2 linked regions of the Drosophila melanogaster genome follow. The protein of the gene in region 1 interacts with the protein of each later gene in a pairwise test. Each region holds a gene or a part of one and is shown on either strand. Other genes may lie near its edges.

Region 1 (15,995 bases):
GTTTAGGTGGGAAATCGCTGCAATATTTTCAAGCTAGGTAACCAGAAACAAATTCTACTATTTAATCATTTCCGGCTTTGTTTTCCCCATTTCCTCAAACCACTCTTGGCAGTGTAAAGGGCTGAGCTTCGGTTTTCCGAAGCTGAAAGATACAAACTTTACCGATACCCATTTTATACAAGTCGCCCCACCATCCTCACACTCGGACTTAGCGTAGTGATTAAGAATAGCATTCCCGCGAAGGTAATTACATTTAATCAGTGTCATATTTCTAAGCATGCAGGAAACGTTACATGTTAGAGAGCAGCACTAGGTGCACCCATCCAGCTTAAGTAGATGCAGCTCGCACACCAACTGAGAATCACAAGCAGTGCGTTTCGGGACTGTAAGAGCAATGCAATGCAAAATAAAGAGATCGATTTTATTTGATTGTCGAACCCGTTTTAAAGTTCCCCAACATTTGGCCTTACTCGATGGAAATTAAACTCGCGTTGCGCCAGCGGTCTTACAGTTCTGAATCCCACTGTACCAGCGCTATTGCCGCACATAGTCGATAAGTCAACCTGCCAAGCTCCCTAAGGACCCTCCCCTTAGTTCCCAACTCCAGTAGCAGTTAAATTAGTGATAACGTTGCTAAAATATATTTGAGAGCATGTAAGATTAATACAAGTACGAGCATACTTATATTTAATGTTTTACAGAATTACATTACAAATATAGAATAATGTTTCAAGAATTTCTAGTACTTTGCGGATTTGTAATCGGGTTCATCGCCACCAGCACCGCCGCCTCCACCGTCCTTTGGCAGTTTTCGCTTTTGAATGATTGTCTAAATGGCAAAGAAAAATAAATATTTTGTATTGATCATCGACGAATCCTTTGGGATATACATACCTGAATCTTTTGCCACTCCCTATCGAGCTCGGCCTTCTCGTTCTTCTCCGTCTTGTTCTTGCGCGTCTTGCGACCGTCCTGCATCTTGACCCCGTACTGGAAGGCTGCCTTGGGCAGCGCCTCCTTCGTGCTCATGTAGTCGGAGTACTCCTCCTGCGTGTCAAAGTCCCAGCGTCCAATGGGCCCCTTTTTATTGCCCAAATCCATCTTGGTGTAATCCACCTCATCGTCCGAGTCGTCGATGGCGTCGTTCATCTCCTCCAGCCCGGGATAGCATTCTGCGTATCCCTCGGGTTCAGCGAACCGTGCGGCCATGGCCTTCGATATCTTGGGTGGCGGGGGAATACTGGATATTATCGGCTCCTCTGATGCCTCCGGCGGGCCGTCTCCAAAGTAGGACGGGGCGGACTTGCCTTGCTCCTGGCGGTTTCGCTCAGGTCGCGTGGCAGAAGGTTGGTAGTCCCCTATATCGTCGTAGATATTATCGCCCAAGGGAGCTGATTTCCCTCCCATGTTCGATGAGGACGAGGTGGCGTGCCGACTGGAGCCACCATTGCTAGACGACCCACGAAGATTTTCCACCTCCTTTTCGTAGAACAGCGGTTTGTCCTTGTCGCGCTTTTTGTTCTTCTTGTTGCGACCACCGGCACGTAGATAGCTCAGGATTTGGGACAGCTTGTTGATCACAATGTCATTGGTGGTCAGCGTGGCAACATCCTCTTGTGACACCGGCACCTCGAACTTGGAGCGCTTCAGTGTGGTTGGAATATCCGACTCCCCTAGCTCGTCATCCAGGTCGATCACATAGGCCATCCGTCCTGGAGCAAATAGCTCATTGCGGGGAACTTCTTTCGAACGCCTTGCCTGCACTAGATTGTAAATATTGCGCGCTAGTGCACCATTGATTGCATTAATATCCTCCGACTCGCGGCGTTCCGCTTCCAATTGCTCAGCGGCGGCAGCTGCTTCGGCGAGCTTTTCCCTTGCCACAGCGGCGGCAATCTCCTCCTCTTCCGCTTCCTTCGAGTGCAGCTCGGAGCGCACTTTTTGCAGAAGGGCGTAATCAAGACCCTTCACCAAATGCGTATGCTGGATGTCTCCACCCAAGAACTTGGACTCCTGAATGATACGTCTTCTTCGCTCCTGGGCATCGATTCCGGATTTCATATCTGGCGCTACAGCTCGATACGCATTGGTGCTGCTTCCGTGTCCCGGCGTGCTCACGTTCACGTAATCTGGATTGGCACCATCGCGTCGTTCTCGTGCTCGGTCCCTGTACTTCTCGGACAGCTCTTGCAGCTTCACATCCTCCTGCTTCTTGAGCGCCGCATAGAAGTTCTTTTTCTTGCGACGCAGATCATTCCGCTCGCTGCTGCTCTGACCCTTCTTCTTTTCGCCACTCAATCCTGTCGTGCCGGGGGCGGTGGAGGGCGTGGCAAAGGTAGCAGTGGCCAGAGATCCTCCAGCGGAGGTGCTGCTCGTCCCGGAGCCAGGAGGAGGAGCTCGGGGCGTCGCTAGCAGCTTGCGGAAGTCATCGTTGGTTAGTCGCACCGAAGGCGGTGCTTCCAAGTGGGCATCCGACATGGCGAAGAAAATTCGAAGAAAACTCGCAGAGAAAATCTATATTTACAAATTGTGCTTCTTCTTGGTTTTGCCTGCCAGGGTTGGCTGTGTTTTTGATTTTTCTCCGTACTGTAATCGATAACATGTTTACAGTGATGGAAGATTAGCGTTTTTAGCGTTTTTTCCGAATAATTACGAATATTTGAAAATCGATTCCACATTTAGCATCACTGTTTCTCATAATGTATTGTTATTATTGTTAAACTACAAATGGAGCAGTTTCTTAAAGGTCTGCCCAAAGTAGAGCTCCATGCTCACCTCAACGGTTCCTTGGGCATCAAAAGCCTATGTGATCTTGGCGAGCGATTGTATGGAACCTCTTGTAAAGATTTCCTGAAGTTGTGCGCGCACTTCAGCCGATTTGAAAAGGATATGGATGCATGCTTCGAGAAGTTTGCATTTGTGCACGAGTTGACCTCCACCCGGGAGGGTCTGCGATTTGCCACGGAGTTGGCGATTCGAGATTTCGCTGAGGACAACGTCCAGTATGTGGAAATGAGGACCACTCCTAAGGCAAACGAGAACTATTCACGCAGGGACTACCTGCAGATCGTGATCGATGCAATTAAGGCAGCTAGCGAAACGTATCCAGAGATAACAGTCAAGCTACTGCCCTCCATCAATCGAGCGGAACCAGTGGACGTGGCTGAGGAAACAGTTTCCCTGGCTGTGGAGTTGGCACGGGCTCATCCAAATCTTATCTTAGGCATCGATCTTAGCGGTAATCCAGGGAAGGGGCGGTTTTCCGACTTTGCTCCTATTCTTGCACAGGCCCGGGATAAGGGTCTGAAGTTAGCTATACACTGCGCCGAGATCGAGAATCCATCGGAGGTAAAGGAAATGCTGCACTTTGGAATGTCCCGCTGTGGACATGGAACTTTTCTTACTCCCGAGGACATTGGGCAGCTTAAACAACGAAATATTGCCATTGAATGCTGCCTCACTAGTAATGTTAAGTCGGGAACAGTGCCCAGCTTGGAGGAGCACCACTTGAAAAGAATCATGGAGGCAGATGCACCCAAGGTTATCTGCACGGACGACAGTGGCGTTTTTGATACCACTTTGACAAAGGAGTTTCTGATTGCTGCGGAAACTTTCGGTCTAACCCGTGAACAATGCATCGATTTGACCTTGGAGGCAGTGCATCATTCATTCGCCAGCGAACAGGAGCAAATACAGATGGCGGATAGGGTGGGGAACTACGCAGACATATTGGTCAAATAAAAAAACTGTCACTGCCCTAATTGAAATAAATAAGTTTTTGTATGTAACACCATATATGTACCAACCTGATTCTTATTTGTCAAAAATTTTACCTTTTAATATCATTCTTTTTATTCAATATGTAGAAGTATTTAGTTACAAGTTTGTTCATTAGTTATGTTCATCCTTCGTACGTACATATGTGGCTAATAAGTTTTTATGTTTTTCTCATTTAATATCATTCATAATTGAATTCAAGTTTTCTGTTCATTACTTTATGTTCTCGTTTCTGCCGTTCTGTGTGGCTTAGTTTGGGGGTAGGCATTCAAAATACAATGGAGTACAAGCTTTGGTCAATAGTGGGCTCTTAAACTGCACCAAGTGAAGTGGACGATCGAAATCTAAGGAAACCAAAGTAAGACTTAAATGATCGAAATCTGTAGTTTAATAGCACATTTTGAAACAAACTTTTTGGGTGAAGACATCTTTATAGTCGGACCCTCCACCTACCCAAGCCTGCAGATTAGCTTTCAGTTGAAGTGGTTTGCCTGCCTGGTATTCCCTATATACAGTTTATCTATATTTTATACTTTTAGTTTGGTTTTAGCTTACTGCTGTGTTTCTACATGAGTTTTACTACTTTATCCAGTTCATTCCAAATGTCGAGCTTCAAGAAACGACCGACTTGGGAGTTTATTTATATTGTATAGAAGTGTTTTTACCTCAACTAGAGAGTTCAATTACAAATCTATATATTTATATAAAGGTTTACATTTCTACACTTTGGAAAAATTCTACTAGTTGAAAATGGTATGGTATGGATTTTGCTGTTGTATTCGACTTTATTTAGGAGTTCGGGCATAGGGTTTTAGTATTCTTGCTTTTAAGTATGTATAATTTTTTTTAAAATGTACGGCCTGGTAAAAGTTTAGCTTGCCAAGGCTTATAAAAAAATATGTCTTGTTTACTTACTGGCTCATTTATAAAAGTCGACCATTTTTGGGTAATATCATATAGACAGCTAGCCTGCTCATATATAAAAAATGCGCCGTATAAAATGCCTCGAACTTGCGCTTTCATTTTTGGTTGTTGTGCCATTTTCTGCAGATTTGGAAGGGCTATAGAGGTTATGGTACGTGTATATTATTTATCTATATTTATTTTCAATGTAATGCTATTCTCGTTAATTGCATGCCGTATTAATATCAATTTTGATTTCAGTTTTGTAGTCATCGCAGCCTTCCATTGAAGCCAATCAGTTGAAACTATGTGTGGATGTGTGCATTTTGGTGTGAGGAAGAGACAATTAAATCGGTTCGAATTGAGAAATAAAACGTTTTCTTTTTGCTACATAATAAACTTGTTTTATTTTTTTCACAAAGAAATTAGCATTAATCGTATTTTGTATAATAATAATAAACATAAAAATCTAATGCATTGTTAAATCAAATGCTCGAATGCAATGCTGTCCAAATTGTAGTTATTTAACTTGTGCCAATCGCTCGCGGTTTACAAAACTAAAGGTCTCGCTCTGTGTTTGTATATTTGAATTTCTCCGTGTGTTCGAGTGTGTAACTACAAAATATTATCGTAATTAATTAATTACTGTTTATTTATATTTATATGTATGTATATGCTTTAATATATATTTATATTTATATATAATTTATAGTTTTACTTGACGCCAGCTCTAGCACATGTCATGCCTTTTAATTTCCGCCATCCTTCCTTCTTTCATTCTTTCCTTTCTTTTTACAACAAATTACAAAAGGTTTATTTATGTCCTTAGCTTAGTTTACAAGGTTCTGCTGTCGAAAAAATTTTACAAATTTTTGCTTCTGCGGTATGCTTTATATTTACTTGAAATCTTGGTTATCTATAGGGCTTTATCGTATTGGGCTTTATTTTGTTTTTACACTTTAGTTTGCGAAAATTTCAAACCAATAGCCGAAGGGTTTTCTGATTTCGCAAATTCAAAATGACCCACTTGTTTTTGCCTTTGGCATACAAAGAAATGCTTGCTTAATTCGCTTCTTTATACGATTACAAGTTTACAGGGAGTTTTTCGTACATTTTAAGTTTTATTGTTTACATTTGTGGTTGTTAAATATTGATCCTTTTTAAGTGGAATTCGCTTTAGATTTTTAGATTTCGACTTGTATACCCAAGTGTCTTACATGCGTGCAAAAAATTGTTACTGTAAAAACTGGGCGTGTGTAGAATACGCCAGCATACGTGTAAATTTCACTGTGCCACGGCACTTCCGCTACTCTACACATGTATTTTACATATACATTATTTTTCTTTTTTAAAAAACGTTTGCCTCACGTCAAGTTCAAAACTAAGTGTAGTACATAATTCTATATGCGTGTATATATGTTTAAATATTTATAGGGATTCGCTGGCTTACACTAACTACTACAGCTAAGCAGCTCGCTGTGTCCTTTGTGTCTGTGTGGGTGTGTAGATGTGTTGGTGTTCGTGTCGGTGTGAGTGTGGGTGTTCGGTGTATTTTACACGTCAAATGTACACGGCGTGTAGCAATGTGTTTAGCCTACAGAAAGCATCTCTACTTGCATTGTTCACTCCGTATCGAACTCGAGAATCCTAAATACAATGTTCATCTATGGATTATTTAAATTAAAATTATCAGTGCATTGCGCTCTAGAGACAGGCAGTTGACAAGTTAATAACTAAAAGTACCAAACAAATAATACCGAGCCCTGCTTGCGCTGTCGCTTGAAATGCGCTCACTTGTTCAGAGACAGGATAATACGGATGTTGCAATGTGGTCATGTTCAATGGGATGGATTAGGGGTAATGGTAAATAGTGAATGATTAATGGTTAATGGGATGGGTGTGTTGGGGGGAAATGTACAGAAAATTACAAATGTTCAATGACTGGTATCCTTTGCTTGTTATATACAAAATACGACAACGACAACGACGACGGTGACGACGACAACAACAACGACACGACAACGAATTTGTGTGTACAAAAATATGCATAATACACTTTACATTGATCTCCAAAAATTGTTTTACATTGGATTTTTGTGTGTTTCGACGAAACCGACAAAAAAGTCTAAATTCGATTTTCTTACCATCTCTCGTTTTCATTATTTTCAGTATTTTAGTATTTGGAATAAGGCGTCGCGAAGTAATCTAAATTTATATCAAAAATGTACAAAATTCTTGGTATTGTTACTTTTTACAATATTCGTTCGTATGTATACATATACAGTTTTTGTTTGCAATTTACAAGTGTTTCGATGACGTTTTAAAACAATTTTATACACTTACGTGAAGGAAGGGTTGGTTAATTATTTAGTATGCCGCACAGCGAATGCATTTCAAGCTTCGCAGGGAGCAACAAGCGCTTTCTGTCTAACATAACAAAGTTAACTCTCCACCTGATTTCGTTCAGTGTGCAGTTGCGAAAGCATAGTGTCGATTTAAATATACATATACATATATCATACATTAAGGTGGGCTAGCAAACATAAAAGGGTCTCGGAAAATTTTGAAAAAAATTGGTTTATTTTGATGGTTATTGTTTTAAAATCCAATTATTATCATTTTTGGCTTACTTGGCTAACAGGTTCTTTTAGCTGGCCACCAGCTGACCAATATCCATGCAGATCGTCGATCGGTGGTCACCAGCTAATGTGTATAAAATTATAAATACATGCGTGAGGTTTAGAATAGAATATGTATGAGTTACTTGCGACTTAAAAAAAATTTACAAAATAAAGTATGTATACATTTTACAGTGAAACATTTGAAAATTACATGGTTTACATGGTTTGTTGTTTGGGGTTTTTTTTTATACAAAATTTTTACATAGTGCAAAAGCAACGTGAATGGGCTGAAGAGTCGTTCATTGTGTGGGTGTATGCAACCGAGTGTGCGTGAGGGGGCGTGGGCGTGTCTCGTGTGTCTCTGTTTTCATTGTGTCTTTGTAGCTGCTGGCTCCAAAAACATTATTACTCTACATTCTACACTAAGTGCGGCTTCTGCTGTTATCCCTCGTATATATGTTTGTATATTAGAAATGGTTCCTCTGTCTGAACTTATAAATCGTAGGCTAATTCATGCAGCCCGCTCTTTTTACTTTCTTTTTTTTCAGCTCGCCGGCTCTTCAGTTGTCTTCTTATTAATTTACAGTCGAAACATTAATCATTTACAGATAGACTTGCTATATAATAATTAATTTATACAAAGTTACAACGAAAATGTACGCAGACAAATCTGTTTCATTGACATTTTACATTACATTCATTATTTTTTCTTGATCGCGATTTACTACGCATTTTTGTTTTCTTTCATCTTTGCGGTTCATGCCTTTTTTTTACAAATTAATTATGCGAGCGCATTTTACAAATATTTTGAAATCTTTTTTCATGAGAACGTTATTAGTTTTGTTCGTAAAAATACAAATTTCTTTTAGTTTTAGCTGTTAAGCTCTTTTGCTTTTTTGCTTGCCAGTGTGCTTCTTTGTTTGCTATTTGTTTCTCTAGATTGGCGCATGTGTGTTTTACTATCCTCTTTGCAAATCTTCGAGTGCAGCTCCATTTATCGCTGCTTTTCCAATAAATAAGATTACATTTATATGTACTTGTTGTTTATGTTAAGCTCTACAGCTTCTAAAAACTATACTGCGATTCGAGAAGGAAGTTTCCTTTGACTGCCTGGCTTAATTTGTTATTTCCTTTACAGCACAACGTTGCCGTTGGTCGGGGGTCCAATGGGACCCAAGCTGCTGTTGACAGCGCCTGACACCACCGAGGACGAGGACTCGGAGGCGTCCGGGGAGGAGGGCTCCACAACCATGGCGCTGCCGTTCTCCTGCACCGAACAAATGGTGGGTGAGGCCAGGCTGTTGGTAGTGCTGGTCGTGGTGGTGCTGCTGCCACTGGTGCAGGCGGTTACCGATGCCGAGGTGGCACCACTGCTGACTGCCGCCGCCGACGAGGCTGCCGGCACTCCTCCAGCTCCTGTGCCCACCGTAATGGGATTGGTTATCTTCATGTAGTACTTCTCCAACTTGGCATTGATGTGCTTGCCGTAGGTGTACTTGCGCAAGGCGGCCATGTGGGGCCGGATCTTGGTCATCAGCTTCTTGAGCTGCGTCGGCTCCGATACATCGATCATTTTTTGGACCACATAGTTGGCATACTGATCCTTCATCATCACGTGCAACGCGCTGCGGAGGGAAAATGAGTTTTGGTTAAGTTAAAGCTAAGAAGGATTCAATTTCCGTGCGGGCACTCACTTGTCGTTGAAGGTGCAGACCTCGTCTATGAGACCAGTGCGTTCTCCGCGAGTGGCATGGGTAACACATTTCTCCACAACGTTTGAGGCGAACTTGTGCTGTGATAGCACCAGAACTTTGCCGCGCACGCTGTTGATAAGAATCGACTTATCCTCCTGCTTGCCGTGTTCTATAAATCAAATATGAAGGTAAGATGATGTATCAGCTATAAGGAATACATGTTAAATTATCAAGTGATAGCTTACCAAGCACATGCTGAATAACATAGTTGCCATATTGGTCCTGAATCAACTGTTCGGTGTGCTCATGCAGTTCGTCCAAAATGGGCGTGGTCTGTTCGGCAGTGCAATGCTCAAGGATTCTCTGGATCACCCGGCATCCATACGGATGGGTGCTTAGCGAGTAAACCTGACCCTTGAAAGCATTGATGATGAACTGCAGCGCCACGGGGTCCACGCACTCAATGCACTTTTGCACCACATGATTGCCATTCTGATCCTTGACGCATTTCAGCACATGTCCGTCCAGTTCGTGGACGATTTCCTGCTGCTGCTCCGGCGAGATGCTCTCCAGAGCCTTCTGAATCACTCGGCAGCCATACATTTGCAGCGCCAGCTGCAGCACATGACCCTTGACCTGCATGCCCAGCGTGTTCTTCTGCTCGGGAGTGCCGAACTCAAAGAACTTCTGGATGACATAGTTGCCAAAGACATCGGTCATCAGGCTATAGGCTGCCGCCAGGATCTCGCTGAACACCATTTGCTTCTCGGCGGCGGTGGCCCGCTCCAACTTCTGTTGGATAAACCGCGAGCCGTGCTGATCCTGTGAGAACTCCACAATGTGGTTAGCGAGATCGCGTAGCTGAAGATTTGGATACCGCTGGTTGCGGAAATCTTCGAGAAGGCGAGATCTTCCTGGCTGTGGGGCACCTCCCACTCCGCCGGCTGCTGCTGCCACCGCCGCTGCTGCCGCTGCCGTGGCAGCCACCTGACGCGAGTTGGCGGCCGCTGCTGCTGCCGCTGCAGCTGCCACAGCTGCGGTACCCGGAATGGCCAGGGGATTCGAGAAGATCGAGCTGTTGGATCCGAACATATTGTTGGCAGCCGCGGCCACCGCTGCCTGAGCAGCTGCTGCAGTCGCCGGCAGACCAACGGCGGCCAGCTGCTGTTGTTGCTGCTGCCGCTGGCGGGACTCGGCTCCAGGTGCCCGACTGCCCAGGAGACAGGATTGCGCCGATGGCGGCGGCGTGATTGGTGCGCCCAGGGGACTGGCCGAAGCATTGCCCGCTCCCAGGGCTCCGTAGGCTCCACTGGCCGCTCCCGACATCGCTCCCGGCCACTTGCCACGCGCTGCGGCGGCTGCTGCGGCAGCTGCTGCTGCCTGGGCCACTGTGCTGTTCACCGCATTGGCGGCCGCTGCCACACCGCTGCTGGTGTAGTCCATGGTCGAGGGACTGAAGGCGGAGGTGCTGCGGTCGAAGGAGTCGCGGCGACCCGTCAACGAGCTCGTGTTCAAGGCGAGGCCTGCAAAAAGTGCAAAGAAAAAATGCATTAGTTAATGATAAGCTATTTGGAAAGGTATAGAGGAGAATGCACGATTTTATGGCAGGACTCAAAGTTGAAAGATAAAAGTAAGGTACATCAATGTGAACTTAATCATGTTAGTTGCATAGTTTAGCACCACCCAGTGCAGCAAATAGCATCACTCAACCGCCGCAGTGACAATCAATCGGCAAATGGAAAATCGAAACCCGGTTTCATCCATCCAGCTTACAGCCTTGGGCGGGATATAAACTCGAAGTGGTCCCAGATATAAAACTCTGACGCAACTGTGCCATTATCCTTTCCAGTCGGTCACCAATGTCGCTCCGTAATTAATCGAGAGAAGCGAGGAGGCGGCTTTGATGCGCCTGTAAAACTTAATTGCCCGCTTCGAGGCGCAGCTGTTGGCTTAGTTTTAGTCACTTAGCCATTTGGCATTTGCAGTGCAGACGATACACATCCCTCTCTCTCTCTCTCTTTCCATCCCACCCCCGCCCGCGGACATCTATCTCTGTAAGCCATAATGTACAGCATTAATGGTGCGCGCACATGAGGCAGCCTGCAATCTACGAGAATATGTAAAAGGATACAAGTGGGCGGCCACAGCGAGTGGATGTAGCTGGGCGAAAGACGGTGCCAACTTGATTGATGTCGTAATCTGTCACTCGCATTTGATTTGCCATCTAAGCGGCGAAAGTGGAGAAAGTACAGAGGGAATGGAAAGCGAGACGTTGAGGGGAGGGATTTACAGGCTGAGTCTCTCAATTCCCTGCGACCAATGATCCGGAAATGTGCGACTCAGCGAAAAGCGAAAGTTCAGCCTGCAAAACCCCTCGGTCATAATAAATTCCTTTCACAATCTGCCACATTCTGTTGCACTTTGGTGTCCGTAAGAGCCAACTGCAGATTAATTGCTCAAATTTATATTGAGAGGGCGGAAAATACGCCATAAGCGTGGCCAGGACACATTAAGTTATTTAGCAACTAGTGCAACAAAGGCTGCGCGAAAGGGTTGCGAAATTTCCAGCTGGTTGCAGGTGAATAAGGGATTGGGTGGTTCTGAACCACTCATGGGTTTTCCGGGGCGTGTGGAAAACAGGGTTAAAGGACAAGGCGAGGCGAATGTTGTTAATGTCAACACAGTGTGCGCAATTTGTTGACCGAGTTATTAAGCAATTTGTTGAAAGTTGCGGAATGGGGCTGGTAAATAATACACAATGTTGGTGTTTGTTTCTGAAAACTAAAGTGGAGCAGTGTTAGCAGGTGTGTAGTGTAACGAAGAAATCGATAGTTAAAGTAACTTGGGTAAAATGTCTCAATTTTCGTGGAAATTGTATGTAACTACTTCAACTTTAAAGTTAAATGATCGATTTTACTTAAGTGGCTTAGCTCTGTTAATAATAACTACTTTACGTTGAGCCTGCAAACCGAATATCCTACCGCTTTGTTATTTCCTTAAGTAATCACTTTAGGCTTTAAGGATAATGGGACGTTTAAAAATCCGCTGCAATTCTTGAGCAATTAAAGCGCGGCTCTGTTTCCGTTACTTTGAAGCAGCTCTTTAGCACTAATTACATTTCATATAATGCCCCTTAAACCGTTTTTTCATAGCCTACTTAACAGCGCTTACAAAGTTGCCCGAGCCGAGAATAGTTTTCCAGCCCCGCCCGCTGACGACCTTCCTCCTGACATTTAAATGACCTCCCCACCCCCCATCACCACCTTGTGGAGACGGAAATAGGAGTGAGTGGAACGTGTGCATAATGTGCACGTGTGTGCATTTATAATTCATAAAATCATTACATTAAGCCAAGGACGAGCGGCAAAGTGTCGTCTCTCGCGTCTAGTGCCGTCTCCTTCGCGCCACTCGGTCGCTCTCTTTCTATTTGCGGAACGTGTGCATAAACCACAGAATGTCGCATGCAATAAACTTGGCGTCTTTTAATGCCACCCACCGCCCACATCAGAAGCAGCCATGGTTCCACATGCACTGCGAGAAATATATGAGTTCGAAATTTGAATGAGTTCGTAAACAACACAAAAATAAATGACTACTCTCACCTTTCTTACTTGACAGGTATTCAGATCTTTATACAATATTAAATCTTAACACATTGGAATTTACAACTGAATGATGCTAACCAAGTTTTGGTTGAGTGTACACTGCAGTTTCATTTGGCAAAGTGTCTCCCAAATGGAGGGCTGCTCCCACTCTAAGCTGATTTGAGCTGAGACAGACGGTCGTCGGGCAGGCCCTGAATTAGTGGATGGGAGTGGGGAGTGGGGAGTGGCAAGACTGGCCCCATATACACTGCCAAATGCGCGCCCAGCATCCCCCATCCAACACGAAACACCCACCACACCGCTGGGGGGCGGTTGGCAGCATTTCGCCCCGCACAAATTGCATGAATAATTCCCTTTTAAATTGTGCAACTACACGCACCTAACCGAAACCCAAAACCATACCAGGCAAACGCATGGCCAGGAAATAAAATAAACAGATGGAAAGCATACGCCAGGCGCAGTCGTAGTGGAAAACTCCCCCACTCCCACCAAAAACACTTTCCTCGATGCAAATTGTTTGTGTTTTTCCGCCGTCTGTATTTGAAATTTAGTCAGTCCCCTTCTGCAATTTCGGCGAAGTAGAGAGGCGCCAAATTAGTTGCAATTTAAATGCAAGAATTACAAACTTTTGCCGCCTTGCCCCGCTGGCTGTCATTAAACTAAGCATTTCACTCGGGATTTCCCCGTTTAATGCAAGAACTTTTAACTGTGAGCTGGCAATTAAATTCCAGCAACTGTCGTAGACAGATAAAAGTTTGCCTTTATGCAGTTAAACTTCGATTCCAGTGCAAATATCAATCTTCATAAAGATAATTTATACATATCTAAAGCTGTAATTACAATTAAGTTTTAATATAATTAAGTTTTATGCAGCTACACAACTAACGTGTTTTAATTAACAAGAGTTCTTGTAGATTGGCACTGTTACATCGATCTGTGCAGCAATACAATTTGATTTGAGTTACGCATACGCCGTGTGGCACACATCATTGAGACTTTCATTAAGCGTAAAGTGCACACACGACCGCCACGCCAACACCTCCCGACACCGCAGCAAGTGTCATCCGTGTGCTGCATGTGATCCAAGCAGGATGTCCCTGCTGCTCCTCCGCCCTGTAAGCCAGCATAGCAATTGACATTTTACAAAATAAACGAATTCATTTGCACAAAAGGCTGCCGCAGAAGGGAGGAGGAGGAGCAGGGAGCTAAAGGATAAAGCAGCTGGCTGGCAGGACGAACAATGTACTGCATTGTATGCAGAGTGGTTTCGTTGGCTGGGCGCTGCATTCGATGGGTTGGCTTGGTTGGCGAGGCCTTTCACTTTTCCAGCACCCCTGTGTGATGCAATCACATGTTGCCAACATGCGAAAGGTGTACATAATAATTTAGCAGGCAAAGGGAGGATGTTCCTGCTGCTATTGCTTCTGCTGTTGCTGCTGCTGCTGCCGCTTCTGTGCTGCCCCCATTGTTTTCAAGGCAATACCCAAAATGGGTATGGCGGTTGCAAAGTCAAGCTGCTTTCTGCTTCAGCCTCTGCTCCACCGCCCCTTCTTTTGCAATCCTGGCCTGGTCCTGGAACCCAGTAGTCACATCCCACCCCCTTCTTTGGCCCCGGCCAAGGCGCATTAACATTTGTAATTGCAGCTTGTCTCTGACGCAGAAGGGGATTCGTTCAACTGATATCCAACTTGCCACCCTGGGCCCGTGTCTCTGCTTACAAACCCCAACCCCAACCCCCCCCCCCCACCTCCCCGTCCCAATCTGTTCTGCTTCAGTCAGCCACTTAAAACAATATAATCTCCATTAAAAAGCCTTTTTGACATTGCACACAGTCAGAGACAGTCAGACAGGCAGACAGACAGATAGTCGGCTAGAAAGAGGGTAACAAGGGTGTTCAATGTACAGCATCGATTGCACAACATAATGAGTGGGCTGCTGATGATGAGGTGGCCTCCTGCCTGGCTAACATGCCGCCTGCACTTGTTAGTGGGGATTTGTGCCAGCGGAGGACAAACTGTGGGCGCCATGTGCTAATTGTAATTGAGATGCGAATGTGCAAGTGGAAATGGTTACACTCGGGCCAAAAATGCCATCGAACTAATGGTTTTACATTTGCAAATGTATAAACGATCAATTTCAAATATAATCAAATATTCAAATAAATATTAGCGCATAGAGCATTCTTTCCTTCCACAATTTAATAGGCAACTTGTCTTATGATCCGCACGCTTTTCCCTCAGTGCAACTAATCCAAATTGGTAGTAGTGCGGCATGTGGATCTGCGAATGTGGCACACTACTCGAGAGACCCTTAGCCTAATCACCTGGCATCATCACGGTGCTCGGGGCAAAGCATGTCAGGGCTTGACTTGCGGTCTCGAGAACGGATTGCGTTCGATTGAGTTTTCCCCAGCCACTCGAAATTCGAAATGGATTACTTAACCTGAGGACTTTTGCAGATCGCAGCTCTTAAAGTCCGTGCTTAAAATTGCAACGTTGAAAACAATTTCAGTGATAAAAGCAGTGTGTAAAACAAAAAAAGAAAAAAAAAAACGAAAAATATATAAAATACGTAATCACTCATACGTCATGTGGAACAACAGTGTGCAAAAGAAGAGAAAACTGGAAACTTCATTAAACTGCCATATGAGGCAAAATGAATTAACGACATAATAATGCCAGCTCCCGACCGTCAGGCGGATGGACGGGATTCGACTGCCATAGTCCGGGAAATTCGTTCCGTTAATGGAAAGAGCGTTTTTGCATGCGGTCGGGAAATAAAAACCGTTAGGTGGAAAGCGTAATAATTGATTTCGCCTGATTGTTAATGGAGTTAATGGAGCTGTCCACGTCTGATGTGTCCGTACTGGTGTGTATGAACTTTCTGTTTTAAGGAATGTTAACGCGTTCCGTAAGCTGCAGTCGTTTATGTTTATAAATCGAAAACAAGTTAAACAAATTCTACGTAATTGAAAATCCTTTGAATAATTTGTGAAAAATTTGAGTATCTTAAAGTTTGAATGCACACTTTTGTTGCCTAGCTGTAGTTAATAAATGTAATTTGAAATTCTATAAATATACAACAACTGCTCAGCAACAACAAAGATAAGCCATCGCCAACATTTTCCTTCTAGAGCTGGCAAGTATTCTATTGCAAACTGGTAGTTTTTGGGTCCCAAACTCATGGACAAACTTTGCACTTCTGGATACCTAGAATAATGAGTGTGCACAGCGTATTAGCTATTGAAAGTTAGTAAAATTAAATATGAGTAATAAATATATAAAGTAAAGTAGAGTAATAAAGTAAAGTAATAAAATATATAAAGTAAACCAAAGTAAACGCCTAATTAGTACTGCCCATTAAATTTTCATCTAGCATTAAGTGATATTTTTAAC
Region 2 (16,804 bases), 2.4 Mb from region 1:
CTGTTATATGTTTATTACCCAGAAAATGCGCGATATTTTTGAATTCTTGGGGCGACGGTCAACACTGCTCGTGTCAAGTTTACCAGCACTGACAAAGATCTAAATAAGTGGTAAATAAATAGAATAATTAAGAAATGCGTGCGGTTATACAAAGGGTTAAGGCTGCCAAAGTGACGGGTATGCAGGATCAAATAGTTACCATCTATCATATAATTTTATACTGCTCCCCTAGTGTTGGATGAGCTGGTGTCCTCCATTGGACCAGGCCTGTGCGTGCTGGTGGGAATCAAGGCCAGCGACACCGCCAAGGATGTTGAGTATCTGTAGGTAAATTCCACTCTGGTGATAACCACCTTAGGTTTAGACCACCTAACACAGCTTACCATTCAAGTGTCCGGAAAATCTTGGCTCTCCGTTTATTCGAGGAGGAGGGCAAGCGTTGGCAAAAGTCCGTGAAGGATCTGAACCTAGAACTGCTGTGCGTCTCGCAGTTTACACTGTATCACCGCCTTAAGGGCAACAAACCGGATTTTTTGGCTGCCATGAAGGGCGAGGAGGCGCAGGAGTTGTACAATCAATTTTTGGATCGCCTAGGTCAATCCTACGATAGCACCAAGATTAAAGGTGAGTGATAGGAACACTCCAGCTGGTCATGTTTTAATCTCACTTACTATAATAGATGGCAAATTTGGAGCATACATGCAAGTGCACATAGAAAACGATGGACCCGTAACCATTAATTTGGAGTCCCCCGAACAAAAGGATACTGACAGAGAAGTGGACAAATGATTTGAAAATATATAACAACCAAAGACAACATTTATGTACCACGGGGTTTTTATATAATGTATTTTTTAGCAGCAACTTAAACTAAGAAAAAATCAGCGTACTCGTCCTTAGGCTTCTAACATCTCGAGATCCTCGACCCCCATTCCCTCCTCCAGTTTCTTCTCGAGTTCGCGTGCATCCACGTAGGTGATCTTCTCCTCGGGCAGATCCTCCTCCATGAGGGCGGCCTCCTCTGCCGCCTCCTGGGCACGTCGTTGCTTCAGCCCTGCGGCTGGGGAGCGAATCAGGGACATGTTGCGCTGCACATCCTTGACGTCCATCTGAATCTCGACCTGGCGACCCTTGCGCAGTCGCTCCATGACAAAGTGGCTGGTGCGTTTCTCCTTAATCTCCGTCACCCGCTTGATGGCCTCCAGACCCTTCTGCCAGGTCTCGCGGCTGTATTTCATGGGCACGTTGCGGCGCTTCTCGAACTCGAAACTGGGATCGATGGCCAGCTCCTTGCCGGCGGCCTTGCGGTACGCCTTCGTCCATCCTACCTTGCGGGGATTCTTCTTGCGCTTAAAGGCCTTGTGACACTTGCCTCGGCAGAACTTGAAGACCTGCGACGGAATATGGCGAAGCAATATAAACATCGGAGCACATGTAAACAGGAAAGCAAATCGTTCTTACCTTGCAGTCATTTCGCACGAATTGCACCCCGTGGCCCGGGTATATTTTGCTAGAGCAAAAATAGCACGTTTGAATGCGCATTTTCGCAATTTACGACGGATAAATTACGAAAACAAAACAAATGCGCAAGCTGCTAGCACGTGTGCTGCTGAAGAAGAAGAAATATGAAAATGTATCGGCAGTCAGCAGTGCGACCAGTCACTGCTTATCGATAACACTGGCTAACATGGAAAATAGCTAGATGTAGACAAAAAATATCCAAGCAAGAAATACGTATAAATTGCAAGTGACTGCGATACCAGTTGACAGTTGTATTGTTTTGATAATTTCAATTACCTTCGGTCTTTGTCCAAATCATGTTTTTCCCAGTATGTTTACATTAACTTAAACTGAATTGTTGCACCTGTTTCTCGATAACATCGCATGCGCTCGCCAGTTTGCACCAGCTGTTGCGCCAGCTGATCGCCCGCTCATGCGCTGGTCACACCGCCAGCATCCAAACAAACAGAGCAGCAGACCAAGAAAATCGGACACATCACCGCGAACGAGATCTTGCTGACGTGCGACCAGATGCAGAGCCCTGCCTTCGCGTACCGGGAACACGCAGAACACTCGCCGCGCGCCATGTACATGCGCGACTGGCGATCGGCCCTGCGGACGCCCACGTACCGGATTGGGAATCGGACGGTGCGCTTTAACTATCACTTCGCCCTTCTGATTGTTTGCGCCTTCGTACTCGTCCTACTCTTCTACTTTGCGCGCCAGGGATCGCACTCCTCCTCCGACGGCTACTGGCTGCGCCGCAGTTACACGGATGCCCGGAGTCTGGACAATGGTGGTCCAGTGGTCCAGGCCTACAATGCCACATATCCGCTCACGTCACCCATGGTGCTGCGTGGCGGTGTGATAAACTACCGGATAGCCATGATTGCCGATCTGGACACCAGTTCCAAGGTGAGCAAGGGCGATGGGAGCAGCACGTGGCGTAGCTACCTGAAGAAGGGCTACCTTACCTACACGGTGGCCAGGTCAGAGATCCAGATTAGCTGGGATGACGGGGCGCCGATAGTCCTGGAATCAGCATTTGCCCTTAAGGGCCGCGGAATGGAGCTATCTGAGCTAGTCACCTTCAACGGGCGCCTGCTCACCTTCGACGACCGAACGGGTTTGATATACGAGATTGTGAATGACAAGCCCATTCCCTGGGTGATCCTGCTCGATGGAGACGGACACAGTGCCAAGGGCTTCAAGGCCGAATGGGCCACAGTGAAAGAGCAAACGCTGTATGTGGGCTCCATGGGCAAGGAGTGGACGACAAGTGCGGGTGATTTCGAGAACAATAACCCCATGTACGTAAAGGCCATCACTCCGTCCGGCGAGGTGAGGTCGCTCAACTGGGTGGACAATTTCAAGCAGTTGCGCCTGCAGTCGATGCAAATAACCTGGCCGGGCTACATGATCCACGAGAGTGGAACCTGGTCAGAGGAAAGGAATCGCTGGTTTTTCCTGCCTAGGCGGTGTTCGAAAGAGAAGTGAGTAAGCGTGTCAGCCTTTAAATCCTTAACTCATCGATCTATCTTTGAAAGATACAACGAAACCAAGGACGAGCACATGGGCTGCAATGTCCTGGTCTCCGCCGACGAAAGCTTCACCAACGTTGAGACTGTACGGCTCGATCCTGAAAATACAACGCCCACGCATGGTTTCTCTAGCTTTAAGTTCTTGCCCGGCACCGATGACTCAATAATCGTGGCTCTTAAGTCGGAGGAGTTGAATGGCAAGACGGCCACCTTCATCACAGCCTTCGATATTGCGGGCAAGACACTGCTGCCCGAAACGAGGATCGAGACGGACTACAAGTATGAGGGATTCGAGTTCATTTAGCTCGCCATTCCAAGCTACCGCACTCCACTCTACTTCGATCCAGGTGCTTCAGTTTTAAACGTGTACATATTGTATTATTGTCCCATACGGTAAGCTTTATATTTATAGTCACCTAGATTAGTCCAGAGATGCTCATCTGCCTCATGAACCGTGACTCCTTGTCCCGTCTTGTACCATAGCACAAAAAAAAATTTTAGTTTATTTTTATTAAAATTGAAATATAAAACGTACAAAGCCGGTGGCAAACTCAGAAAAGCCCTGCATCACGTTTCTTTAATCTTCGCATCCAATCCGGCCACCATAAGATCGGCTTTATCGATGCGACCCTCGCTGGCGCGAACTTCCAGTCGATCGGCATTGTGGTTGACATTCCAGAGTTCGGGCAAAAAGCGGGGCTGCATTGTGTGCAGAAAGTGCTGCCGCCATAAGCGCTCCAGCTCCACCAGGCCGCCGAAATGATCGCGATATTGCTGCACCACCCGCTCGCCATGCTGACAGTAGTCGGAGTTTTCTACGCGATATTCCACGCTGGCTGCTTGCCGCAGGAGATCTTCTGTGATGTCCGTTTGATCGGAGTAGTAATCGAGGAGAGTCTTTTCCATTTCGGCCTTCTTTGCAGCGGGTATTTTCGCGCCATGATGAAGTAGTGCCTTGCCAGCGGATTGGACTCGTCTGGAAATAATAAAATGCAATTCAGATTCATTGAGAACTCTATGGAGATTAATTTTATCATATATCAGGGTATGTTTTGGAAAGTTAGGTGATAAAAAAGAGGCAAAATATGTCTGGTAAGATAACTGATAAGGCAATCTACATTCCTCGCAATGTATAATTTACTTTTACTTTTAACTTAGTTCTGAAAATGTATGGCATACTTACTTGAGCTGCGGATCATCATGGTACTTGACAGATCCGTCTTCCTGCTTGAAAGGAGCTTCGCACTGCACGGCCAGTTTGCTGCGAACCCTTAGATCCGAGATGTTGCTTAGCTGGTGGCAGGTTGGGCACAGGAGCAGCACATCGTCGGAGGTGTGAGATTTCATGACCAATGGGAAATGCTTTCTGTATTCCCGCGGTACCACGTTCTTCCGAATGTACGCATCCCGGTCACCACACACCACGCACTGGTTTTTCTTGATTGTTTGATAGAAGCGCCCCACATCTCCGACCGCTCGACCCGCTGGCTCGAAGTTAAGGCGGACAGTGAAGGGCTCTTCGCTTATATGCGTGCCCAGATTTTGATTGAGATACCAGGACGCCTTGCGCCTGTCAATTGTACACAGGAGTTCGCCATCGGGCGCCTGCAGCAGGCAGTTATCGTAGAAGTCTTTGGTTCGGGTAGCTATTTGCCGGTACGGTTGCTTCTTGGGCACCCATTTATTGCTTTTGGATTGGGTGGAGCCCTTTGAACGAGTTACTCCGCTGCCGGACGGGTTGAGTGTGAAGCCTTTCGTGAAGTCCACGTCGAGAAAGGGTTCGAATTTGTTGTGCATGCTATTGTCGTCCAGTTGCCTTCGTTGCCAAAAGTGTTTTGGCTGCAGATCCCTGCACAATTTTTGATAAATGGCCACCGCCATAAGTGCGTCGTTGGCAGCGTAATCAAGCTGTTTTGGCTCCAAAGTCTTGGCCTCCCAGTTGGAGCAGGCCAGGCGCCAGTGCTTGTCCAGTGTATAGTTCAGGTGAGTTTTGGAGAGCTTTCCCAGTCCCTCAGGTTTGTGGCCTGCCATTACGCAGAGGAAGCGCAGATCCAGTGTGCTGGCCACGCCTACTCCATAGTCGTGCGAAAGTTTCATGGCATCCTCCTGGGGTGCCACGCCCACTTTGATCACGGAATCGTCCTCGAGAAGCTCCCGCAGATCCTGGGGTATTTGTTTCATATGGCACAGTCGGAATAAGGCACATAGACCCCGATGGGAGCTCAATTGGAGCAAGGCCACTGGCCTGCGGCTGCCGCCCACGGTGATCCACTCGCAATCGAATCCAAGGACTTTAAAAGTCTGGCAGTGACTAAGAGGCAGAATATATATATATATTTCCATTGTCGTGAAATTAAAGTGGTTTTTACTTACTTCTTCAGTTCATTCAAAACCCATTGCGTGGTCGGATCCTGGACGGAGTTGATCACTTCTATGCGTCGCTGGGGCACCAGGCTGCCGAAGGACCAGACGCGACGCAGTGGACACAGCAGTCGGTGCCTGTGCCGCACCAGGACGTATACCAAGCCAACTCCTGCGGCCAGAATCGCCCAATTTCTTTTGGTGGCGACTGCCGATTCCCGAGTCATTGTTCTCCTTTCGGAGTTCAGCAGCTGATTGGCTGGCCTGCCAACTTACGTTTTCACAAACCGTAAAAGCCGGTCTAAACAAGTTTCGGAATATTTATAACCGTAATTTGAATGTGCTATGCCAAAATAGTTTTACAGTTTTAATACATTTTAAGCAAAACTTGTTTCAAATCTTTTAAAAGTTCATAAAAATATATCGAAATAAAACCGTTAAACATGACGAGTCGTTTAAAAAGGTGGCATTGTTGGCTGGACTAAGATCTTCGGGGTGGCAATACTGGCCCACAGGGTTTTCCGGAATCTCCATTCGCGAAAAGAATTAAAAATGTTTAATTAAACGCAGTCGGAGCGTGCAAACAATGAATAAAACTCAGTGAAACTGGCGGCGGGGAAACGATGTGCCATTGAAAACGCAGAAAAGGCGGCAGCAGACAGTGACACAGCGCGTAAATAAGGAAGGCAATCGAAAGAAATCGATTTTTCAGGGCAGGTGGGCTACCATTAGACTCCCCACACTCATGCACACATATTGATGCAAATCCCATTTGCAGGATGCTGAAACTTTGAAGGAATCCAGAAACTGTAGAGAAGAAACCCCACAGAATGCCGGAAAACCTCGAGCTTCAGCAGTTCCAGGAGGGCGCCCCGCCCCCAGATCCCGCCCCCCGTTGGCTGGAGCGCTTGCAGCGACGATTGGGCGCCGATTGTCCCTACTTGGGTATCCTGCTGGCCACGCTCTCCTCGCTCTTCTTCTCCCTGTGCTCGGTGATTGTGAAGGGACTGGTGGACGTGAACCCCATGGAGCTGGCCTCGTTTCGATTCGTCGGAGTCCTGTTGCCGGCACTGCCCATCCTGATATACACGCGACAGCCGGTGTTTCCGGAGGGCAAGAGGGTGATACTGCTGCTGCGCTGCTTCATGGGCACAACGGGTCTGATGCTCAGCTTCTATGCCTTCCGACACATGCCCCTGGCCGATGCGAGTGTCATCATCTTCTCCACGCCCGTTTTCGTGGCCATATTTGCGCGTGCCTTCCTCAAGGAGCCGTGTACGCTGTTCAATGTCCTGACCATCAATATGACATTGCTCGGCGTGGTCCTCATCACGCGCCCACCCTTTGTGTTCGGTGACACGGCGGAGAGTGAGGATGTCGCTGGGAAGACGTACGACATCTGGGGACCAGTGGCCGCCATATCATCCACACTCTTCGGAGCCAATGTGTACATCCTGCTGCGGGCGCTCAAAAACCTGCACTTCTCCGTCATCATGACGAATTTCGGTACCATCGCTCTGGTCTACACACTGATCGTTTGCGCATCTATTGGAGCTGTGTGCTGGCCAAGCTGCGGACGGGATCGTTGGCTGGTCGTTGTACTGGGCGTATTCAGCTTCCTGGGCCAGATCCTGCTCACGCTATCGCTGCAGATCGAACAGGCCGGACCAGTGGCCATTGCTCGCTGCGCCGACATCGTCTTCGCCTTCGTCTGGCAGATGCTCTTCTTCGGAGAGACGCCCACCGCTTACTCGCTGGTGGGTGCGGTGATGGTGATGGGATCTGTGGTTCTGACGGCCCTGAAGAAATGGGCAGGCACCCTGCCACGCGAGTCGTCGCTGCGGAAGCGATTCAGGCTCATCCTGCTGGAATAGTGTGGTTCCAGAGCAACTAAAAGAGTTCGCGGTTTCTCCCTCGTCTTGTCACATCGTTCTCACCCAATCCCGGCAAGCATCAGTGGCCGGCAGCAAACCCGGTTCATTCATCGTAGACTCTACTTATATCAAGGCTCAGATCGTAGATTAATCAAAATATATAAGAAGGGACGCGTGATATCCACTCCACTCATAAGTAAATACTCGTAGTGCGTGTTTAGTTTAGCCAATTTCGCCGATTTGTTGTTTTGTACATTGTTATACATGCTTAAAATACGGTAATAAATACAACTTATGAATAAAATAAAAACAAGTTATAATTTGCATTTGAATTTCACGCTCTTCTACATGCAAATTTGCACTACATTTTTATATAATTCATTTAAATAGTTATAAATAAACAATAAAATTTCAAATCTACAGCGACACAACATTTTACATTACTTTGTAAAAATTCCGTTACATGTAGAATACAGACGGCGCGACATCGATACATACATCGACATCATACATCGATTGCAGAATTAATTTTACATCCACCTCTAGTTTTTCGTTTGTTTGTTTGTTTATTATTGTTTATGTTTATATTCTCGAAGCACACACACTCGAAAAAACAGAGCAAGGAACGGAAACAGAAACGGAAGACAAGCTGAGGGACTAGAAGCCCAAATCGGCAATAACCGCGTCCAGTTCGTCCTGCAGATTGGTGGCCCGCGATCGCACCTGCACAATTTGATCCTGCAAATTGTCGACGTTCGCCTGGAGCAGCACATTGCACTTCTTCATCGCCGCGAACCGGCTCTCGTGCTTCTTCACGCGCGGCTCCACATTCGCCTTCTTCGCGGAGTTGGGCGAGTCCTGCGGAATACGGTACAGGTGAGCTGGCTAAATAGTTTACGATTCTCTGGGGCTAACTCACCTCTGGCTCGGACTCGCTGCCCGTCTCCGCCTCACTTTCCTCCGATTCGGACTCCTCGGACTCGTCGTCGGATTCCTCCTCTTCTTCGCTGGCGTGCTCCTCCTCGGCCTCCTCTTCGTCCTCGTCCTTCTCCTCGCCGTCCACATCGTCTTCGTCTAGCTTCATGGAGGCAGCCATCTTCTGCACCTCCTTCTCCAGCTTCTTAAACTTCTTGTTCTCCTCCCTGTCATCCAGAGTTGTTTCCAGTTTAAGAACAATACTACATTACAATTTGTACTCACTTGAGGATACTCTGGTTCTTCTTCATGGCTTGCTTGAGGGCGTCCTTCTCCTTCTTGGCCGCCTCCTCTTTGACCTTCAGTTTGGTAAGCTTGCTACGCAGGATCTTGAGCTCCTTGCCAGAGCGACGCTCCCTGCGCTCCACCTTCTTCTCCTCCGGCTCGTCAGGATCGCTTTCGCTGACCTCAGGCTCCAGTTCCGGCGAGCTATCCCTTCCAAAGTTTGCATCGCTTGGTCGACGCGATCCGTCCAAGGATCCACCGCCCTGCAGCCGCAGTTAATGCAAAACGGAAAACGGGAAAGAAGGGATACACACATTGGATTAGTGAGGGCATCCTTGAGCGGGGCCTGATTTTACCTGATGCCGTGCTGCATGGTAGTGGTCGTAGTGGAAGCAATCGTCGTAGTCGTCGTCGTCGTAAGCAAAGCAATTACTAATGTGCGGTCTGTTAGTGCTTGGTGTCGCCTTTGCAAGAGAGCGTGAACGGGTTAATCGGTTAGTTGCCGCGGAGTGCAATAGCAAAGCTTTCAGGGGGATAGGAATCGGGACCGGACGTGTCCTAGACGGGTCATAACACCGCTTTGGTCTGGGCGGAAGCAGAATGCGGGTGGCGGGAGTCTTTCATGCAGCATGCGTCCGGCAGTTGGAGTTTAAGGTCGTCTACACACGAGATCTTCGGACATTGTTTATACCTCTCGTTTCGTTTTGATAAAGATTACATTTTTTAATGTCTACCATGGCATGGCCAGGTCCATTATTTGCTTAAAGAAAAATTCTGGAACCTTTTGAGCATTTCCCCAGAAACTTGATTTTGTTTTGTCTGGAATTGTGTGCAAGCAAACAGATAGCACAGGTAAGGGATGAAGGCACCTTACTTGAAAAGTATGGCTTCCGAAATTTAATACAAATTGAGCTTTGATAAAATATGGTCAGTTTTGAATTTCATTTTTCGCTTTCTCTTGATAATAATTTTACTATTCAACTTGTCTGATTCCTTCTCAACAGCAAGCTGTCTGCTGGCTTCAATCAGATTTCTGGTATTTTAAGTCTCGTGTGCAAACCGTTTTTAAGAAGGAAGAAAACAAGGTGTATCCACGGGTAATCCTTTCCCAGACCCATTCCACATTTGTGTCAAGTGTTGTCAGCTGATCTGTTTCTCTGGCTACAGTGGCTACTAGGGACAACTAACGAGGGATCTAAGGCGGAGTCTACGAATTGCGGTGGCTTCGTTAGCTGCTCCCGTCTACTTGCCGCCCTCAGCGGACGCAGCGAGGCGACGCCGGCGACACTAAAAACAAGAAAGAAGGACTAGCTTCGGAGTCCGATGCTTTGCATACCCTTGGAGATAGTTATGTTGTAAATGGTTGTAATCCAAAATCCTAATCTCAACTGACAACACTTTGAGCAGCATCCCATTACCTACATATACATATTACCGAACCCGTTCTGCAAAAGGAATTACCTGAAGAGCTGCTGCCAACTTGCGTTCGAGCAACTGAATCTGGCGGCGCTGCTCCTCGATCTCCGTCTTGGCCTCCACCAGCTGCTCGGCGGTGCTCTGATAGTTTTGCTCCACCTCCTTGGACACCTTCCGTGCGTCCTCTACCTCGCGCTTCAGGGAGTTGACGTAGGTCTGTTCGGCGGTGGGCGTAGGATCCATGGTGGCCACAATCACATTGGATCCGTACTCGAGATTCTTTTCGCGTGACTTCTCGCGTTCCAGTTCGGTCTCTAGGGTGCGGATTTTGGCCAGCAGCTTCTTGTTCTCGCGATCCTGCGCCTCACGGTTTCGCAACTCCAGTGCCAGCATTTGTTTGGTGCTCTGCAGATCGTCGCGGATCTTGTCGATGTCGTCCAGCTCGTCGGGGCTTTCCTCGTCGATGGACATAGCCGATACGATGCTGGGCCGGGATCCTCCGGCTCCCAAGGCCGTGGCACTGCCCGGTCCGAGTGCATGGCTGCTAGGCGCCTCGCTGAGCATGTTGATCTTCGACTGCGACTTCTGCAACTGCTCCTCGATGGTCATCTGTCGGCGGAACTTGCGCAGACCGTCCAGCACCGGCTTGCTGCGATCGTTGGTCTTCGTTGGCTTCAACTTGATGCCGCCCTGGATCTGCTTGAGCAGCTTGTTGTGCGAGTTGCCCTTCTCCGTCTCGTAGATGAACTTGTCGTCCAATTTGGTTATCGACTTGCACGTCAGGATGGGCTGAGATCTATTAGGATTTGAATTGTTATAAAAGAGATTTTTGAACATTTTCGTGCAGAGTTATCTATTATTTGGCTGCTGGTACTTCTGCACACTTAAAATTTAAGTAAAAGTCATTAACATTTGCCGGATAAAGTGGCGTAAACGCAGTAAGATGCTCTAGGTACTCTTTCCTGTGGCCTTAAATAACTTCAGTTTTCATTCCCTTTTTAATTATCGGGAGTATTGCAGTCGGTAATTACTGCACAGCATGCGGACACCACTCACCTATCGTTGCAGGCCACATGGCGCAGCTTCTTGCCGCTCTCCACCTCCTTCATCATCTCGGACCAGTCGGGGCGCCTTCGGGGTCGAGTCCTGCGAATCGAAGCGAATCGGAATTATGGCCATTCTGCGCCTTCAAGGTAAAAACTATCCCGATGCCAGGATATTCGGGTATGCAAGCACTGGCGGTGGTCAGGGTTCATGGGTCAGTCGTCGAGGTTTCCACTCACCTGAGCTTCTCGAGGGTCTCCTTCTGTGTGCTGCTGAGCACTCTCTTCTCACCGGGAGCTAGGGGCGGGGGCGGCGGTGGCGGGGCCTTGGGCACCAGCGAGGGCAGCGGCGGCGGGGCGGGAACTGCAACAATAAAACACGGAATGCACCCAAGTGGGCGGCGGTTATTCTCTGCCAAATGGTGGGTGGGGCACTCGCTGCAAGTGGTGCAAGTGGGCGCGAGGTTTGGTCGTTGGGCATTAGAGCAAATCGCCGGGCGCTGCGTGCACTCGCGGTTATTAAATATAATTTTAATTTAATGAGTTTGCAATTTGTTTCAGTTGTTTGTTGTTCTTTCGGCTCCCGGGGGGTTCCTTAGTCAACCCGCCAGAGGATTCGCCACCCCAGTATTTAGCTGTGCTTTGCGAGCAAAGTTGCACCATACATATCAATACAGGGCAAAGAGAATGGAATGGATGGCTTTACACTCCGAACATTAAGGGTTATTTATTCCTTTTCGGTTTTTGTTTTAAAAGGTTCTGACTCTATCAATTCCCCAATTGTATTAGTTTAAATCTATTTTCATCTTTTCAGCTAGTACATTTTAAATCACTTAAATGCCAATCTTAAGCATATCTAACATTTTCCTTACAAAACAGAGGACCCAAACTATTATGTCAGCTGGATTATACATTTTAGAGAATACATTTTGGGAATTGTCTAGTGTTTTGAAAAATGTCAGTTCATCATTTCGCCTTTTAGCCAAACACAATATGAATAGAAAAGGCTTATAGTCTGTTTATCTGAAGTTTCGCCTGGTGTATGGGGGGCTCCTAATAGAATGAGAGCCTAGACACATGGCTGTCTCTGTCGGAAGTTGCAGCAGAGATTGAAAAGTTAGTGCCTGCCTCCGTTGCGGCCTCCGCCTACGTTTCGTCCTCGTCCTCGTCCTGCTCCCCCGACACCGTCTTGTCGTGGAACGTGGACCTGGCTTTGATGGTGTTTTATTGCCTTAACACCATTCATTCGATTTCTTTGGGACTCATACACAGGCATGCATCAAGATGGGTTTCTTTCATAATTTTTTATCGAATACTTTGCATTCCTTCATGCTTTTTCCTTTCGGCTTGTTGTTCAAAAGTGTAAAAGTCAAACAACAAAAAGAAGAGAAAAACAATGAAGGCACCACCACCAGCACCATCACCATCACCATCACCAAGTGATGAAAAGCTGACAAATCTGTTAATTAGCTTTGTTTGAGTGAGTCCTGGCAGGAAGCAGGGGCAGGAGATTTGATGCCTTTTGGGTGGGACTGTGTTACCAAGGCCACAACCGCCAGGGCCTTATCCTTTGTCTGAGCTCCGGCTCCGGCTCCGGCTCCTTCTCCGTCTCCGGTTTAGTCTGCCTTCTCCTTTTTCGGTTTTCCAGTTTTTCGGTTTCTCGGTTGCGCCTGGCTGGATCTGCACTTAATCTTTAAGTGGTTGGCTGCCTTTTGCGGTGCATTAGTATCCGAAATACCTTCCGAAACCCCCTCGACCTGAGTGAAAAAGAGGTGGATAACTTGGCCAAACTGGAGAGGTAATGAAACTAATCCGAACTCGTGTTACTTTGCCGAATAAAATCAGAGCAAACGACCAACTTGATTATTGTCTAGAGCTGCTTCACCTCAAGCTACCGATCCTGCAGCTCCTCATGAATTTTCCCCCAATGTCTGCATGTTAATGAACTGCTTCCATGGGGGCAGAGAAGCTCTGATTAAAATACGTGGTCAACTTTTCGGACAGCCAATTGAGGACGCGTTTAGTGAGTTGCGCTCAATTCGGTTTAGTAATTTATGGACAAAAGCTCTCCCCCTAACCACTAAACCCGCCCTCGAATCCCTGGCAGTTATCCTAAATCAGTGGCAAACAAAAGTGGAAGCGGGCAAGAAACAAAAGAAAGCACAACAACATCACGCGAAGAGAAACGAGGCAAGGGTGCCGGGCAGATAAAAGTCTTCATTCATTCATGTCGACAAAATTATTTCTTATTTAAATAAAAAGCAAGCACTGCCACTGCCACGACTGAAGATGAAGAGCAGGAGCAGGTCCTGGTTCTCGGAGCTCCGAGTTGAGATGAGGCTACCCACTTAATATACCGCAAAGCCCGCACTTACGACGTCGCAGAATGAATAGCGGTGTATGTAAACATAAATTTTGCGAGCTCACTCTCGGTGAGGCATGGCACCCTCCTCATAAAGCCCCCTCCTGGCTCATTGTGTTATCATCAGCGGAATATTCTATGCATGCACAAATGTTGCCGTTGTCATTGAATCAACCCGGAGTGTGGAGTGTGGAGTGTCGGATCGGGTCTTCAAAAACTGGCGAACCCCAGGCAACTGGAGTGGGTGAGGGAAATCTGCTGCTGCTACAGGGTACTGGTTACTGCTTACTACTGGCTGGTTACTGGTTACTGGGAAGTGGAGTTCTGGTCATGGACTGCTGCCAGCCCAGCCGCCCGATGAGTGACTTCCCAGCTTCCAGGCTGTGCTCATTCATTGTCTGCCGGGGCATGATGAAGCACCGCTCAGCCAGCTCATATATTTCATGACACAGAATGGTAGGGAGTCGTTCCCCCAAAGCTCCTTTGTATGATTAGCGTTTCTGCCTTGGCCGGAACGCTGTGCGAAAGGGCTAACCAGGGATTACATGGGGCTTTTTGTAAACTATTTGGAACCCGATTAGCTCGGAAATGATGCTGTTGGTTTACCGCAAAATTCTAAGTATTTCTCTAGGATTTCACCTCGAAACCAAGTTCATTTTCCTCTCTATGAAGTGCAGCTTAAATTTATATATCTTTGGAAGCCGCTTTGGTATAAACGAATTCGGTAATGTTTTCCTTTCACAATCATTATTAACCCTAAAATAAATACAGCTCAAATTTCGAATTTAAAGCAAAGTTTTACATCTGAGGTTGTCCAATCCAACGATAATTCTGCTTTATATTGCAGCATTTGTGTAATATAAGCTGTAACGTTTTTATAAAATAAATTAGATATCATATTATTTTATTTGTTTATTTATTTTTGTTTACCGAATACTTTTGCTGTTTCCGCTGGACGGTAATCTTTATTTAATTTCCTTTGTGCCTCCGGAGACGAGCCTTAAGTCCAATTAGAAAATTCAATTTCAATTTGGATTTGTTGTGGCGTCGTTTGGGGGACACTAATCCAATTATGCAGTCAACCATTTCATTGTCGCCCAGTATAATTATGGCCAACAGCAATTGGCCAATATTAGCAAGTGTGTATATATATATATGTGTGTGTGTGCCACAGAACTTTGAACCATTTTCCTTTACGTCATTTTGACCACGCTACATCTAAATTTGAAAGAGCCTAATCATCTTTTATGCTTCACCGGGTAGGTCACACACAGAAAACCCAAAATGAAAATCACCCTCACCTATTGAAAGTCGACGTTTCTAATGACGGGCAGACCCTAGCCTTCACCACCACCAACACCACCCACCGCTTGACCCTGGAAACAAAAAAGAGCCAAGAGTTTCCCAAAAAAAGGAAGGAAATATGGGGCGCAGCCGTTACATGTCTCGCATCTACAGAGGGATACATAGAGATGAGGCTCATTTAAATAAAAGAAAATATTTTTCGTCCTGCCGCTGTTTGTCCTTTGAAGACATTCGAGCCTCTTAAGAGGGGAACTTGCGGCCAGCGCCGTCTTTTATTTCGTTTTGTTTTTTAGTGGCGGATATTTGAATATAAATGGCGCATTTAGTTAGACTCTATCAAGCTCATTCCCATATATCTTTGGCTGCTTTCGGCTCGGCCACATTCTCCCCCCCACGAGGATTCACTTCCAATTGGAGTCCGAGTTGCCTTTTATCATTCGATAGTTGCCAGTTTTTTCTTTTTTTTTTTTTTTGGGAATGAAACTTAAGAGACCAGGACGCTGGCCGGCCATGTCCTTGTGTCTCCTCACCATTGCTCATCTGGCTTTAAAACATTCTATTTTATGTTGTAGTTTTGACAGAATGAGCAATAATCATGAATTTTGTCTTAGACCATAAAAAAAGCCCACTCCACTGCGGACCCTTCCTCACAAGATTTCACCCGAACACATTAAATAAATGTTTCGCTCTCTTTTTTCCTAGTGTCCTTCTATGCTGCTCCCTTTTTTTGTTCGCTTCTGTTTGATAGGGTGACAGCTTTAAAACGGACGAACGATGCTCTGTTTTATTTTTGGCGGACATCGTTTTTTGGTCATTTTATTTAGTGACCTCTTTGGCCAGTCTCCGCCTCTTCGATCCTTTTGTTTGTCGGTCAAGATTAGGAGGCATTTGCGGTCACGTTATTGCCCACTGATTAGGTCGGGCACAAAAGGCAAGTTAACTGCCTCACACGTAGGCGTAGCGGTAGCGGTAGCCGTTGCCTTAGCCCTTTCACCCAAACCATTTGGCCAGATCCTAACGAGCTTTTCACTTCATTTTAGTTGACTGCCCCAGGGGAAAACTGGAGGCCTGGCCCACGGACACGGGCTTTCTGCAATTCAATTTTGAGGCCAGGTGACAGCATGCTTATGCAACATTTGGTTGCTTTGTTTTTTGAAAGTCTTGCCCCTGCCGACTTGCCGCCAATCGAGCCCAGCCTCGCGGCAGGAAAGTCCATTGCAGAATTACAACCTTCTTTAGTTGAGAGTGTGTGTCTGTGTGTGTGGCAATAAATACGGAATTAGAGAGGAACATTTGCTCCGGCATACCTTTGTGCTGTTATGTCGAACGCCCTTACCGACGAGCGGATGGATCCTCGCCGGAAAACGAGATGGTTGCCCAAATAAAACCCACTCGCAACTGCAGTCAGGCAGTGAAACACTTTGCGCCTCTTTCGGCTCAATGCACAACACCCACTAAAATTTAATAAATAAAAAATGATATTTATATTGCTTTATAGCCTTGTTTTTCCCACTGTTCGTTCCTTCGTTGTGCTCGTCCCTTGTCTGTGTGCGCTTTGTGGTTTTTGTTTGGGCGAAACATTTTGATGAAATATTTTTTACACATTCATTTCAAGTATATAAATTCCCATATTCCTCCCATACGAGTGTGTGCCTTCTGCATACAGACACTAGAATATCGTATATTTTCCTGCGTTTTTATAAATGAGCAGACAGCGATGGTTGTGAGCGACAGGTTACAGACATTGATGGCAGCGTGAAGCTGTATTGGCCGTTGGAAATTAAATCTTACAATGGAAATGGATATCTTGACCAAACTAGTTTCATATTTTTTGCTTAAATGCCCACTGGTTTTAATTGTTGTGTTTTTTATGGCGGAAGCATTAGCACGATAGCTATCCTTTTTAAAAGGCATCTCACATTCAGGAAATAACTGAATATTGCAGTGCGTCGGCTTTCATGGCGTATGAGTAATTTTTGTTAAAATGCATTAAACGGAATATATATTGAAAGCAATCACAATCTTTTGTGTAATTACAAAAGCACGTTTTTTAAAACAAATAAATATATATAAAATAAATATTATATAATAAAATATTACTCATACGCCCCGTACAACCCCTAAATGTTTGTTCAATCGTTAAGCTTATAAAAAATATTTACCAAAAATATCTTAACTGTGACACATCTAATCTTTTAAAAA

Evidence for each region.
Region 2: the proteins of beag (region 1) and CG17230 interact in a two-hybrid assay, tested with the Drosophila melanogaster proteins (one large-scale study listed by BioGRID).

The regions. Positions count from the first base shown.
Region 1 is NT_033777.3:9,062,512-9,078,506, forward strand, and holds beag (beag), read right to left. Parts: upstream 2,568-15,995; 5' UTR 2,479-2,567; coding exon 895-2,478; intron 830-894; coding exon 740-829; 3' UTR 621-739; downstream 1-620. Other genes in the region: Ada (adenosine deaminase), read left to right, coding at 2,728-3,741; pum (pumilio), read right to left, coding at 8,434-8,926, 8,996-9,164, 9,241-10,518.
Region 2 is NT_033777.3:11,429,948-11,446,751, forward strand, and holds the start of CG17230 (uncharacterized protein), read left to right. Parts: upstream 1-7,837; 5' UTR 7,838-7,933; coding exon of another isoform or gene 7,934-8,134; 5' UTR 8,135-8,152; intron 8,153-8,195; coding exon of another isoform or gene 8,196-8,418; intron 8,419-8,476; coding exon of another isoform or gene 8,477-8,739; intron 8,740-8,832; coding exon of another isoform or gene 8,833-8,940; intron 8,941-9,937; coding exon of another isoform or gene 9,938-10,688; intron 10,689-10,948; coding exon of another isoform or gene 10,949-11,038; intron 11,039-11,175; coding exon of another isoform or gene 11,176-11,299; intron 11,300-12,244; exon of another isoform or gene 12,245-12,359; intron 12,360-15,909; exon of another isoform or gene 15,910-16,047; intron 16,048-16,804. Other genes in the region: Dtd (D-aminoacyl-tRNA deacylase), read left to right, coding at 135-177, 233-323, 392-624, 680-789; RpL24-like (ribosomal protein L24-like), read right to left, coding at 897-1,391, 1,462-1,542; CG5276 (uncharacterized protein), read left to right, coding at 2,032-2,993, 3,048-3,345; Exd2 (exonuclease 3'-5' domain-containing 2), read right to left, coding at 3,609-4,017, 4,225-5,352, 5,415-5,629; CG5281 (uncharacterized protein), read left to right, coding at 6,233-7,276; sals (sarcomere length short), read right to left, coding at 7,934-8,134, 8,196-8,418, 8,477-8,739, 8,833-8,940, 9,938-10,688, 10,949-11,038, 11,176-11,299.